Drosophila melanogaster: one gene and its partner. Changing the gene in region 2 together with the main gene of any one other region gives a genetic interaction. Each region holds a gene or a part of one and is shown on either strand. Other genes may lie near its edges. The genes, in order: S6k and Trpm.

The links.
Region 1: of Trpm (region 2) and S6k, changing one suppresses a phenotype caused by changing the other (phenotypic suppression), as found in Drosophila melanogaster (one study listed by BioGRID).

What each region holds. Positions count from the first base shown.
Region 1 is NT_037436.4:5,807,683-5,812,759, reverse strand, and holds the start of S6k (ribosomal protein S6 kinase), read left to right. Parts: upstream 1-1,828; 5' UTR 1,829-2,359; coding exon 2,360-2,470; intron 2,471-4,771; coding exon 4,772-4,812; intron 4,813-5,077. Other genes in the region: mad2, read left to right, coding at 1-45, 107-510; kri (krishah), read right to left, coding at 685-695, 842-1,374, 1,440-1,681.
Region 2 is NT_033778.4:15,306,276-15,311,314, forward strand, and holds the start of Trpm (transient receptor potential cation channel, subfamily M), read right to left. Parts: upstream 3,094-5,039; 5' UTR 2,921-3,093; intron 2,723-2,920; exon of another isoform or gene 2,567-2,722; intron 1,024-2,566; 5' UTR 603-1,023; intron 1-602. Other genes in the region: CG8152 (uncharacterized protein), read right to left, coding at 3,765-4,775. UniProt on the Drosophila melanogaster protein: Calcium channel mediating constitutive calcium ion entry.

The DNA of each region.
Region 1 (5,077 bases), on a different chromosome or scaffold from region 2:
CCAAGATCAAGACCTTTCTGCAGAACGTGCTCAGCCAAACTGAAGGTTAGTGGTCTTTTGGAAAAAATTCAAGTTTATGGTGACCATTATTTGTATTCACCTATAGAATGGCTCTCGAAGAACATGATCAACAAGATCTCGATGGTCATTACGAACGCCCACACCAAGGAGGTGCTCGAGTGCTGGGACTTTAATATGCAGGCCGAGTTGGGCGATGGCGATATCAGTGATCCCACCAAGGCAACAACCACCAAGGAGCTGAGTCGCATACAGAACGAGATTCGCGACGTTATGCGGCAGATCTCGGCCACCGTGAGCTATTTGCCACTGCTCGATTGCATCTGCACCTTCGACATAATGATTCACACGCTGCAGAACACCGAATTACCGGCCAAATGGGACGAAACGGGTGCCATTGTCATACAGAATCCGCAGGCCGTCCAGCTGCGCTCCTTTTCTACAGGACTGCACAAGGTGGACACCGTGGTCAACTACAAGATGAGCACTTAAAAGGCAGTACCGCCTCATCCTAATGTTTAAATATTTATTTCGTTTCTATATTTACAATAGTGCGTAACGAACGTAACGTATTTGAGAGTTGCATTAAAAGCCAGTTGTGAAAAGCTAACAGTTGCTAAGTAGTAGTTTGGTTGGCCGCAGGGGTCGTCTATTTGTCTGTGTGTCTCAAATGCAATCTGGAGGACGAAACAGAGTGAGAGAGGGTAGCATTTGTTAGTGGAGCGCAACGCAGGAAAGGGCGTTTGTCTGGGCGACAGCTACCTATCCTAAGCAGCGCTTAGTCGTCAAGTCTGCGAGATAGACCCAAGTATCTAGTCTGTACCGAAGTATTTCTGGCCAAAGTGATTAGGTGCCACGGGATGCAGCTCGGAGGTGAGGATCTTCAGCTTGGGGAAGGCATTCACTACGGTCCGAGCGGCAATGGGTGTGCAGAAGAGATTGGACAGGATGATGCAGCTCTCGGGTACGCCGTGTTCCCGCAGCACATTCACCGCCTGCAGCACAGTGTTGCCCGTGGACATGATGGGGTACATGAGTAGCACCTGCCTGCTGCCGATGTCATCGGGAAAGCGGGCATAAACCACGCGGGCCTCATGCGTATTGGCATCGGACTCGACCAGGATCTTTCCAATGCGAATGGAGCGACAGCAGTCACGCAGTCCCTGCTCCATGGCCTCTCCCGATCGGATGATGGACACGCCGCAGTTGCCGGAGCGATACTTCAGTCCCTCGTAAATCGCACCGGTGGGCGTCTCCACATCGCAATGGGTGTAGGGCAGTTGGTTGAGCGACTCCTCGATGACCAGCCGGATGAGACGGTCGGCATAGAACTTGAAGTCACTGCGCGTGGTGTTCCTGGGGGGTAGAATTTTGTTGTACTGCTACTACGCTGCTGACTCCTCCTCCCCAACGTCACCTACTTGTCGCGCAATATGGTCAGCAGTTCGGCCACCTGGGAATTGCACTCGAGTAGCTTCAGGTTGCTGCCGTACTCCGCCAGGATCTCCTCCGATGTGGCAGCTGGCACCGCGGCATGTGCATGCGTGGGAGTGTGCAGCTGTTGCTCCTGCTCCTGGGCTTCCTGCTGCGGCTGCTGGTGATCTGAGGAACTGCTGCCCTCCTCCGACTGGGAGCCGCTGCTGCTGGGCGAGCCGGTGCGCATGACTCGGCTATTTGGTTGCTATCACTGGCTACATAAAATAAATAAATTAAAAGAATTGTACGTAGCACTTTGTCCTCCTAGCGCGTGCTTGGCTTGCTACGGCCACACTTTGTCGCGGCATTGCCGTTCGTTGCGCCTCGGTAATTTCTAGCAATTGGCAGTTAGCGCACGACTGGCCACACTCAGCAAATCACCTCGTGTTTCACTCGCAAACAAAGAAAAAAGTGCATTTTAATTACTGATTACTGCATTGCGATTAGGCGTTCGCGAACAACAACGTTTTCTTGCACATCAGCGGACTCAAAGGGCGCGCGTGGGCAAGGCATTGAGCACAGTGTCTGTGTGCGTGAGTGTGGGTGCGTTGTGCGTGCGTCGCAGTGTTGGTGCGTGTGCCCCCATGTGTGTGTGTATTTGTATTGCCATTAACTAATAAACAATAACCTTCGGGCCACGACGAAAGCCACGAAATCGGCACCGCTGCTGTTCTGTTCTGTACTGTTCCATCTGAACCAACCAGCTGAACAAGGAGACTCATAGCCAGAGACTAAAATAAATCGCCAACGCGCTTCCGCCCCCCCGCGAGAGGAGCGCCCAGTTCAGGAGCGGACCAGCGGCGATCCACTTCCCATATCCATATCCAAACAGAATCGCACTCGCCCAAACACACACACGCACGCAATGGCGGACGTGAGCGATCCCAGCGAACTGTTCGACCTGGAGCTGCACGACCTGGAACTGCAGGACGACAAGGCCAGGGACTCCGACGACGACAGGATCGAGCTGGACGATGTAAGATATAGCCCCCATTCCATGCCATCCCGTGCCAATGCGTGCCGCACCATCCCCCGATGCAAACTGCGCAGCAACAATTTCCCTCTTTGTTTACCTTTTCTGCGCTTTGTCTGCCAGTTTTCCTTTCGCTCGTCTGGGCATCCCGATTCCACACCCCCGAACCAGCATATCCACCAGCCGCACACCCTGCAAACTGGGCTTATCTGCTGCGCAAATGTCTGGCGTCATTCGGTTTCAGTCCAGTCGCCGATTATTCAGCGCATGTACATGCGCTCACTCATTGTACCATAAGTTCGACTCGATCAGAGAAAACCTCCTTACGAAACCACCTTCGATTGATATGGGCCAATCGAAGCCAGTGGTGGTGTCCTTCAAACTAATCAGCCCCAATTGCCCGCCACACTCCATGGCAGCCCCCTGCTTGCCACCGCCCCTGTCTCAGCTGATAATGCAACAACTGCAAAGGTGGTGTGCGAAGGAGAGGGAGGCCCAAAATGAACGCCGACTCGCTCGCACTCTCGCAAGTGTCTTAGCTTCCACTTAGAAAACGAAATTCCTTATCAGCGTGCCATATAAAATTAGAAAATGAGAAAAACCTCCACGCGCCGATAAGGGAGCACAACAAAATGGAAGGAAAAAGGGCAGGCAGGCAGGCAGGCGATTGAGATCGAAATCGAGCGATCGTCGAGCCAAACCGTCGTGTTTGGGGTGGTGGTGCTATACGGAACCAGTTGTAACTGCACCACAGTACACTGGAAAAGAATATTAGTTTCCATAGTATGTAGTCATTAAGTACCGAATTACTGATTACTAATTGTGCTAATGAGCGGTTCTTAAATTGATAAGTTTGTATTTAAACGCTTAAATTACTTCCCGTATTCAATACTAGTCGCAATAAATGCATTTTGGCTAAAGCAAGTTGCTAAAACTCTTAATTCGAATATTAAAAGTTCTAAATTGGCCTGAAATATATGTAATTTAGCAACAATGTGTGTACATATGCCGTCATCTTATGATGTCAATTGATTTATTTTTAGACAAATTGTGTAAAGTAATGGCTTAAAAGTACGAAAATAATCTACTAAAAAGGGAGAGAATAGCTCTTGGGTAATTATCATTTTTCTTTGTGTATTATTGGTTTTGTCTGCCCGGGGGAATTACATAGCTGGAGAAACCTTTTCGGTGTTGATAAGAACCTATCACTACCATATCGCACACCTTTTCCAAGACCTGTCGATTTACTTGATTTACGCAAGCGCGCACACCCCCTCCCTCCGCCCATCCACTGACTTTGTATGAACGCTATAAATTATGATGGATTTGTTAATTGAAATTCACCGCCAACGCTGACGAGGTGAACCAGTTTTTAATGTGCTGCGCGACGAGATGTCGAGATGCGGATTCCTATTCCGATGCCGCCATTCAATTGAACTTTAGTCAAAAATGTTCTATACAAATTTTAGGCATGACGAGAACGACGACGGCGGCTGCGGCTGCTGCTGATTCTTCTGAATCTGCCGCCCCTAACTGTGGCCTTCCTCCGATTGGAGCAGCCGCGTCCGAGGGGGCGGCAAATGGACCCGGAGGGGACGAGGAACAGCGCCAGCATCGCCGGCAGATTATTTGGCATTGTTCCGAGTTCTAAATTTAGTTTGTCATTAAGCGAAAGGTGTGTGTGCGTGTGCGGAAAGTGTACGAATGTACATCTGTGTGGATGCCACGCTCTTTCTCTCTGTGTAAATACCGAATAAGCTCCGTGTGGAGTAGTGGACAAATCGAAGGGTGGTGGAGAAACTCACTGGCTTCACATACTCCAAAGACGGATGCCATCCGAGATCCCAGAGCGAGCCCCTACTACTACTCCGATGCGATCTCTCCATTCATCGGAATCTCCCGCTGCTTAAAACGAAACTGAAAAGTGGGGCAGCACCGAATGGGGATTAAGCATGCAACAAGAAAAATAAAATATAACGATATACGATTTCCCATTTTAGAACTGATTCTTGAGCTATTTTTATTACTAAAAAAGCATATTAAAATTGTGGGCTACTAGCTTTAAGCAACCCACATATATATTACTGCTGGTATAGGCTGATTTTGAAGTATCTGTAAGATTTAGGGCCTCTTGTCTTCGTCGATGCCCGGTGCTGTGTAACTTTCCCTTCTGCTGTTTGCTCCCAAGTTCGCAATAACTATGATTAATTGTTGATTTTTTCGCATGTATACCGCTGGCAGTTATGCTCGCAAGTAGACGCCATCTCACTCACACGCCTCTCCGTCTCTCTTTCGCATTTGCAGGTTGACCTAGAACCGGAATTGTGTATTAATCTGCACCAAGAGTGAGTAATGCCAGTGCTATGCCGCCACATCGGAGGACGTGACTGTGACGTGACTTTCTGAGAATGCGGGGTAGATAGGGACCCAGATACGATCGGACTTCCTCTCCAGCCAGCTGAGCAGCAGTTAAATGAACAGCCAAATTGCCAATTATCAGCTCAGACTTGTTTACACACTGCAAACGATGGCAGTGATAGCATATGATATGATTGATTTGGCTTAGAGCCTTATCCCGGCCAGACGCAACTTAGCCTGGTCGACTCTGGA
Region 2 (5,039 bases):
CTTGCCAACAAACTTCAGGCCTAATTTTTGTTAATTTTTTGCCTTTCGTCCTGCCACTGACACACTCACAGCCAGAGGCGTCGCTTGAGGGGATGGAGATTTTGGGCAACAATTTATGCCGAAAGTTTTCGCAAATTGCTCATTTCAAGCACCGTTTGGTATGCAACACCTTCGCGATATTAGAAAATTCCTGCAGGTGAGAGATTTATGCCAACCATCGTCCTGCCAATTACACACACTCGTACATCTCAACAATATTTGCATTCCACTTGGAAATCTTAAAGATAGAAAAATTGTGCGCCTATTTAGGAATTTAAAGCGCTTAGATATTTTAACCTTCAAAGGTACATGCAACGCAGTAAGACAATTAAATAATTACAAATAATTTCCATGACTAATCTTTATATTATTAGATTTAAACCGATATTAAGTATTAAAATGGAATGAAAATCATTAATTTATTTACTATCTAATGTCCCATAATTTTCACTCCATATTTAAACTTTTTTCTTTAAATTGATTCGGTGTGAATAGGATATGCTTTTGCACAAACGCTCACTAAAGTCCTGCAAAGTAATTTGCATTTATCTCGACGGTCTTACCTGGGAAAACACTTAGTAGAGTCGGAAAACGCGGCCAGATGGAAAACGCTGGAGCAGAAATACTTGTCTCTCCGTATACTTGATGCTGAATGAGGGAAAATGCGGATGCTGCTGTTGTTGGTGCTGTTGCTCTGGGGGCTCCTGAATATTGGATCAAGCATGCTTAAATTTGTTTTTCAAGTTCATGCGTTTTGTATTGCTCATTTCGATATTGTTGTTTATAATTGTTGTAATTGCTTTAATGGTTATTATGTCGGTCTCCGCAAAATTTTGTTGGCTGGGTATTGCGTAAACAATCGAAGGGTATACGCGATGAATTTCAGGTGTTTGGCAATTAGGAATTTTCACATAATATAATATCCGAGTGTTTGTTTAGTTCGTTTGATTGCAATTCACTTTAACTACTACCAGATATTTGGCTCTAGTTAGGGGGCAAAAAGCCAAATGGAAATTAAAGGGCCCTCAAAAAGCCGAGCTACTCTTCCCCAGAATGGAAAAATGGACTACTTATGCCATTGGCATTGCCATTGCGCTCAGGCAATGACCCGGAAGTTTTGGCATTTCATTTATCTCATTTCTGTGCTCTTCGGGCCGCCTCTCTTGGTTTATTTTACAATAATAAACATTTAGCATTTTCATTTCGGCTCTTGTGCATTTGTTTGGTTTACGATTTTAAAGATTTACGAGATTTTTTTCCACCCAAGCACTGAAGTAAATGGGATTCGCTTGGCCTTGTGCTGCTCATTCAGTTGAACTTCTACACAGAACCTCCAATTGTTATTATACTGGCTGGATTATTGTGATAAAACTAAGAAAAACAGTGTAGTTTTGTCAAAAAAATATTAAAGTCTCAGCTTTTTAATAACTAAAACATTTGCATATTTATTATGTAAACAATATTTCAGTTCTACGAAAAACATAATGGCAACTATTGAATATATTTGATGACTCTCAGCCCATTTTACTTTTGAATAGTGTAAATTTTGCAAGCATATAATACATTCGCAGCATTCCAGGGAATCGTTGAGATAATAAAAATATTCTATTCCGTTTTTTCTGGTTTCTTTCGCCCCACCCTCGCCTCACTTGACTGGTTATAGCATTGTGTTGTCTAAATAATAGAATCGAATGGGGTTAATGGGAAAGAAATGCCGTGTAAGGTCCGGTCCAGAGGCGGGACAATATTAGAGGGGAACTTTTTTTTAAATATACTACCCCCCATGTAGATCATGTATGAAATCAAAGAAGTCAATGGTGTCATTGAAATCGGTTCCTTCCAAGCCTTACATTTTCACTGTCACAAAAACTGTTTATAGTAAATCATGTATAAGATCTGAAATCCAAAAGAAATAGTTTCTGTTGCACCAAAGGGATAATCTTTATCCCAAAACTTGAATTATTTTACAGTTTATGGATAATAGCTTGCTATATCTCTTAAGCAGTACAAAAGTTAATGCCTCAATGGATTGATTTTTTTTTAAGGGTACTACTCTCCCCAAGATTCACGATTTAGATCCGCCCCTGGTAGACCCCAACAACAAAGCAAGTTCATGAGGGGGCCCTGATCGAAGGGGAGAGAGGTGGGGGTTGGAAAAATCGAGGGGATGCTGGCAATGTCGATCAATGAGCGAGAGGGCACCACATAAAGAGAAAGAGAGAGCGGAGCGGAGAGAACCGAATTATATGTACATTGTTCAATGCAAAACTAAACAAATCACCAAAATAAATGCTACGAAAATAAACCATAAAGCCCACTGAACATCAGAGCGCATATTAAACAATATAGTTTTTCTATTCCTGCAGAGTCCGTGGGAGTAAATGTGTTACGGCGATGACTTTGTAAGCGTTTTGTTATCACACACGATGCAATCACATGGCCACCCTATTTAGTTTAATTATTCAAAAATAATTGCACTTCTTGCCAGCTCTGCGTAATTTGAAACTGCGCGTTTTTTGGGGTTTACCGGGGAACGGGATACGGCTCACACGAATCACAAAAAAACACTGGTACACACACGATAACGGTTAAGCAGCAAAACGTCGACACAATTGTTAATTATTTTAAAAAATATTTAAATGCGCCAAGCGAACCGCACATGTTGGAGAACCAACAACAAATTGGAGCGACGCTCCGCCGCAAAAACGCTGTCACACACAAACACATACACACTCAGACCAATCAGCTGTTCTTGTTGATCGGCCGCCAGGGTTGCCACCGCATCAAAATTCGGAATTCAATCATTTGAATCTAGAAATTACTTTGCCGTCGAGCAACGGTTTTCCAGACACTTTAATGCTTCACTTTTTTAGCTGTTTACCTAAGGGAAACGACTGCTGTTGGTGACCTTGTGGGCGCACTCCCACTTTTTCACTTTTAATTGCCGAGCATGCGAGTAGAACTTTAAAACACGCACTGCTTACTTAGTTTTATTGCACTCCGCGGTATAAAAAGACGGGAACGACCTCACGGTACAACAGTCCGAATACGACTGAGCGCAGGAATTCGGAGAAGTTCCTTATATACCGTTTTCACTATTTTCTCTCTCAGAAATATTCCAATGTTCCAATTGGAAGTTTCGCAAATGTAAATTAACAGTCCAATGTTAAAAATTAACAGCTGTTGCAAACATAAAGCACTTTCCATCGGTTGTTTCTGTTTTTAGTGCTTACAAAAATAAATATATTTTCAATCACAAGGCCTAAATCCATCACATTTAAAATTAATAGTCATTCTTCAGGTGTGTACTATGTGTTTTTACTAATATGTTGCTTAATTTGTGCGTATAAACCTAACAATTTGTGTATTTAGCAAGTGATTCCCTCGTCCAACTTTCGAAACAAAATTTCAACTTTAAATAGAGTTTCAAAAAATTGTTTAAATTTTTAAGTAAGTGTGCTAGTCCATGTTGTTGTACTCAATAATTTCATATATAATTTATAATATAATTTGGGTACGGCTGAACATCAGTTGTTTTATTGGGTACCTCTTAAGAAGGAATAACTAATATTGTATTCCTTCTAATGAGAAATTTATAAATCTACTATTCATAAATCACCATTATTAATAATTAAATTTATTATTTTGCTCTTAAAAAACATCTTAGGCTGGCTCCATTTATAATTTATAGTACAATTCTTGTTAGCTTTCTCTGTAAGCCATCTTTAACTTAGTACCCTGCGGAGGTACCGTTCTCGCTTCCATTCGCGCACCTTTTCCCTCTGCATATCGCTTCGCGTCCTTCTCGGCTGATATATGGGATCCCTTCTCCTAACAGCGTTTAAATCGAAGGCACCAAAGTGGGAGACCCTTGCCGACTGCTGTTCAATTCCCAGTCCAGTGCGTTGCTTTCGAAGAACAGTCTTGACGGGATACAATCGCCCACTTTGACTCGGTCCCAATCCGTGCTCCTGGTCCCAGCCCTGTTTCACCATCAGCTGGAGTCCTCGATTTTTGGCAGATATGTTAAATTTGTGGAGCTTATGAGCGGGCAGAGCCTTTAGATTGAACTGATGCACTGTGGATGTTTGATGAATTGGCCAGGGGGTTTCTTTGTAGTCCCTCTTACAGATTTCACAGTAAAAGGGGTTGTTGCCATCAACTGACTCATCCTCTTCGCTAGTTTCCTCTAAAATGGGTAGGGATTCCAAAAGATGAACTACATCTAAGTGACCTTTTCGTTGGGCCAGTTTCAGAGCTGTGTTTCCGGATTTGTCTGAGGTCTCTACTTGGACCCCTCTCTGCACGAGCCAACTCACTGCCTCCGTGGCTCCTTCACAGGCAGCCATCATCAAGGCAGTCCAGCCAAAGGAATCCCGAGAATTTAAATCCTCTTCTGAGGCCTTCATTTGAGACAGCTCCTCTACTTTGTTGCTAGTGGCCAAACGGAAAAATTTGCTTTTGTCGAAGGGGACTAGGATCCTTTCTGGCTCTCTTCTTGTTTGTGCAGTTTTGTGGGTACTTGGAAGGTTAGGTTGGCAGGTTGTGGGCGCATCCAACACCTCCTTGTAGAACTCACGAGCTTCTGCTCCGTTTAAGCCATCGATTTGGTGCTTTACTGCTTTCGGGGACTCGGCGATAAAATCCGGATCTCCTGCTCGGACGAATCGCTTCAGTTGGAGTGGCAATGTTGTTAGAGCCAGCCAATTTGGATGCAATTCGTTTTGAGAATTCATTTTTGACAATAATGATGCTAACTCGTTTTGTAAATAAACATTTCGCAGATGTGCGTCAGAGCTGCGTAGTGCTCAAAAATATCGTTTGGAGATAAGTCGATAGCCAAACTAATCGAATATAGAGATGGTGATTTTAGGAGATAAAAAATGAATGACACTGTTGAAATTATTTAGTCAACACTGTCGGTCAAAAATCTATTAATACCGCTCTATGTGAAGTTTCTTAAGCTTCTTTTGCGTTCTTGAAAAAATAAATAATATAAA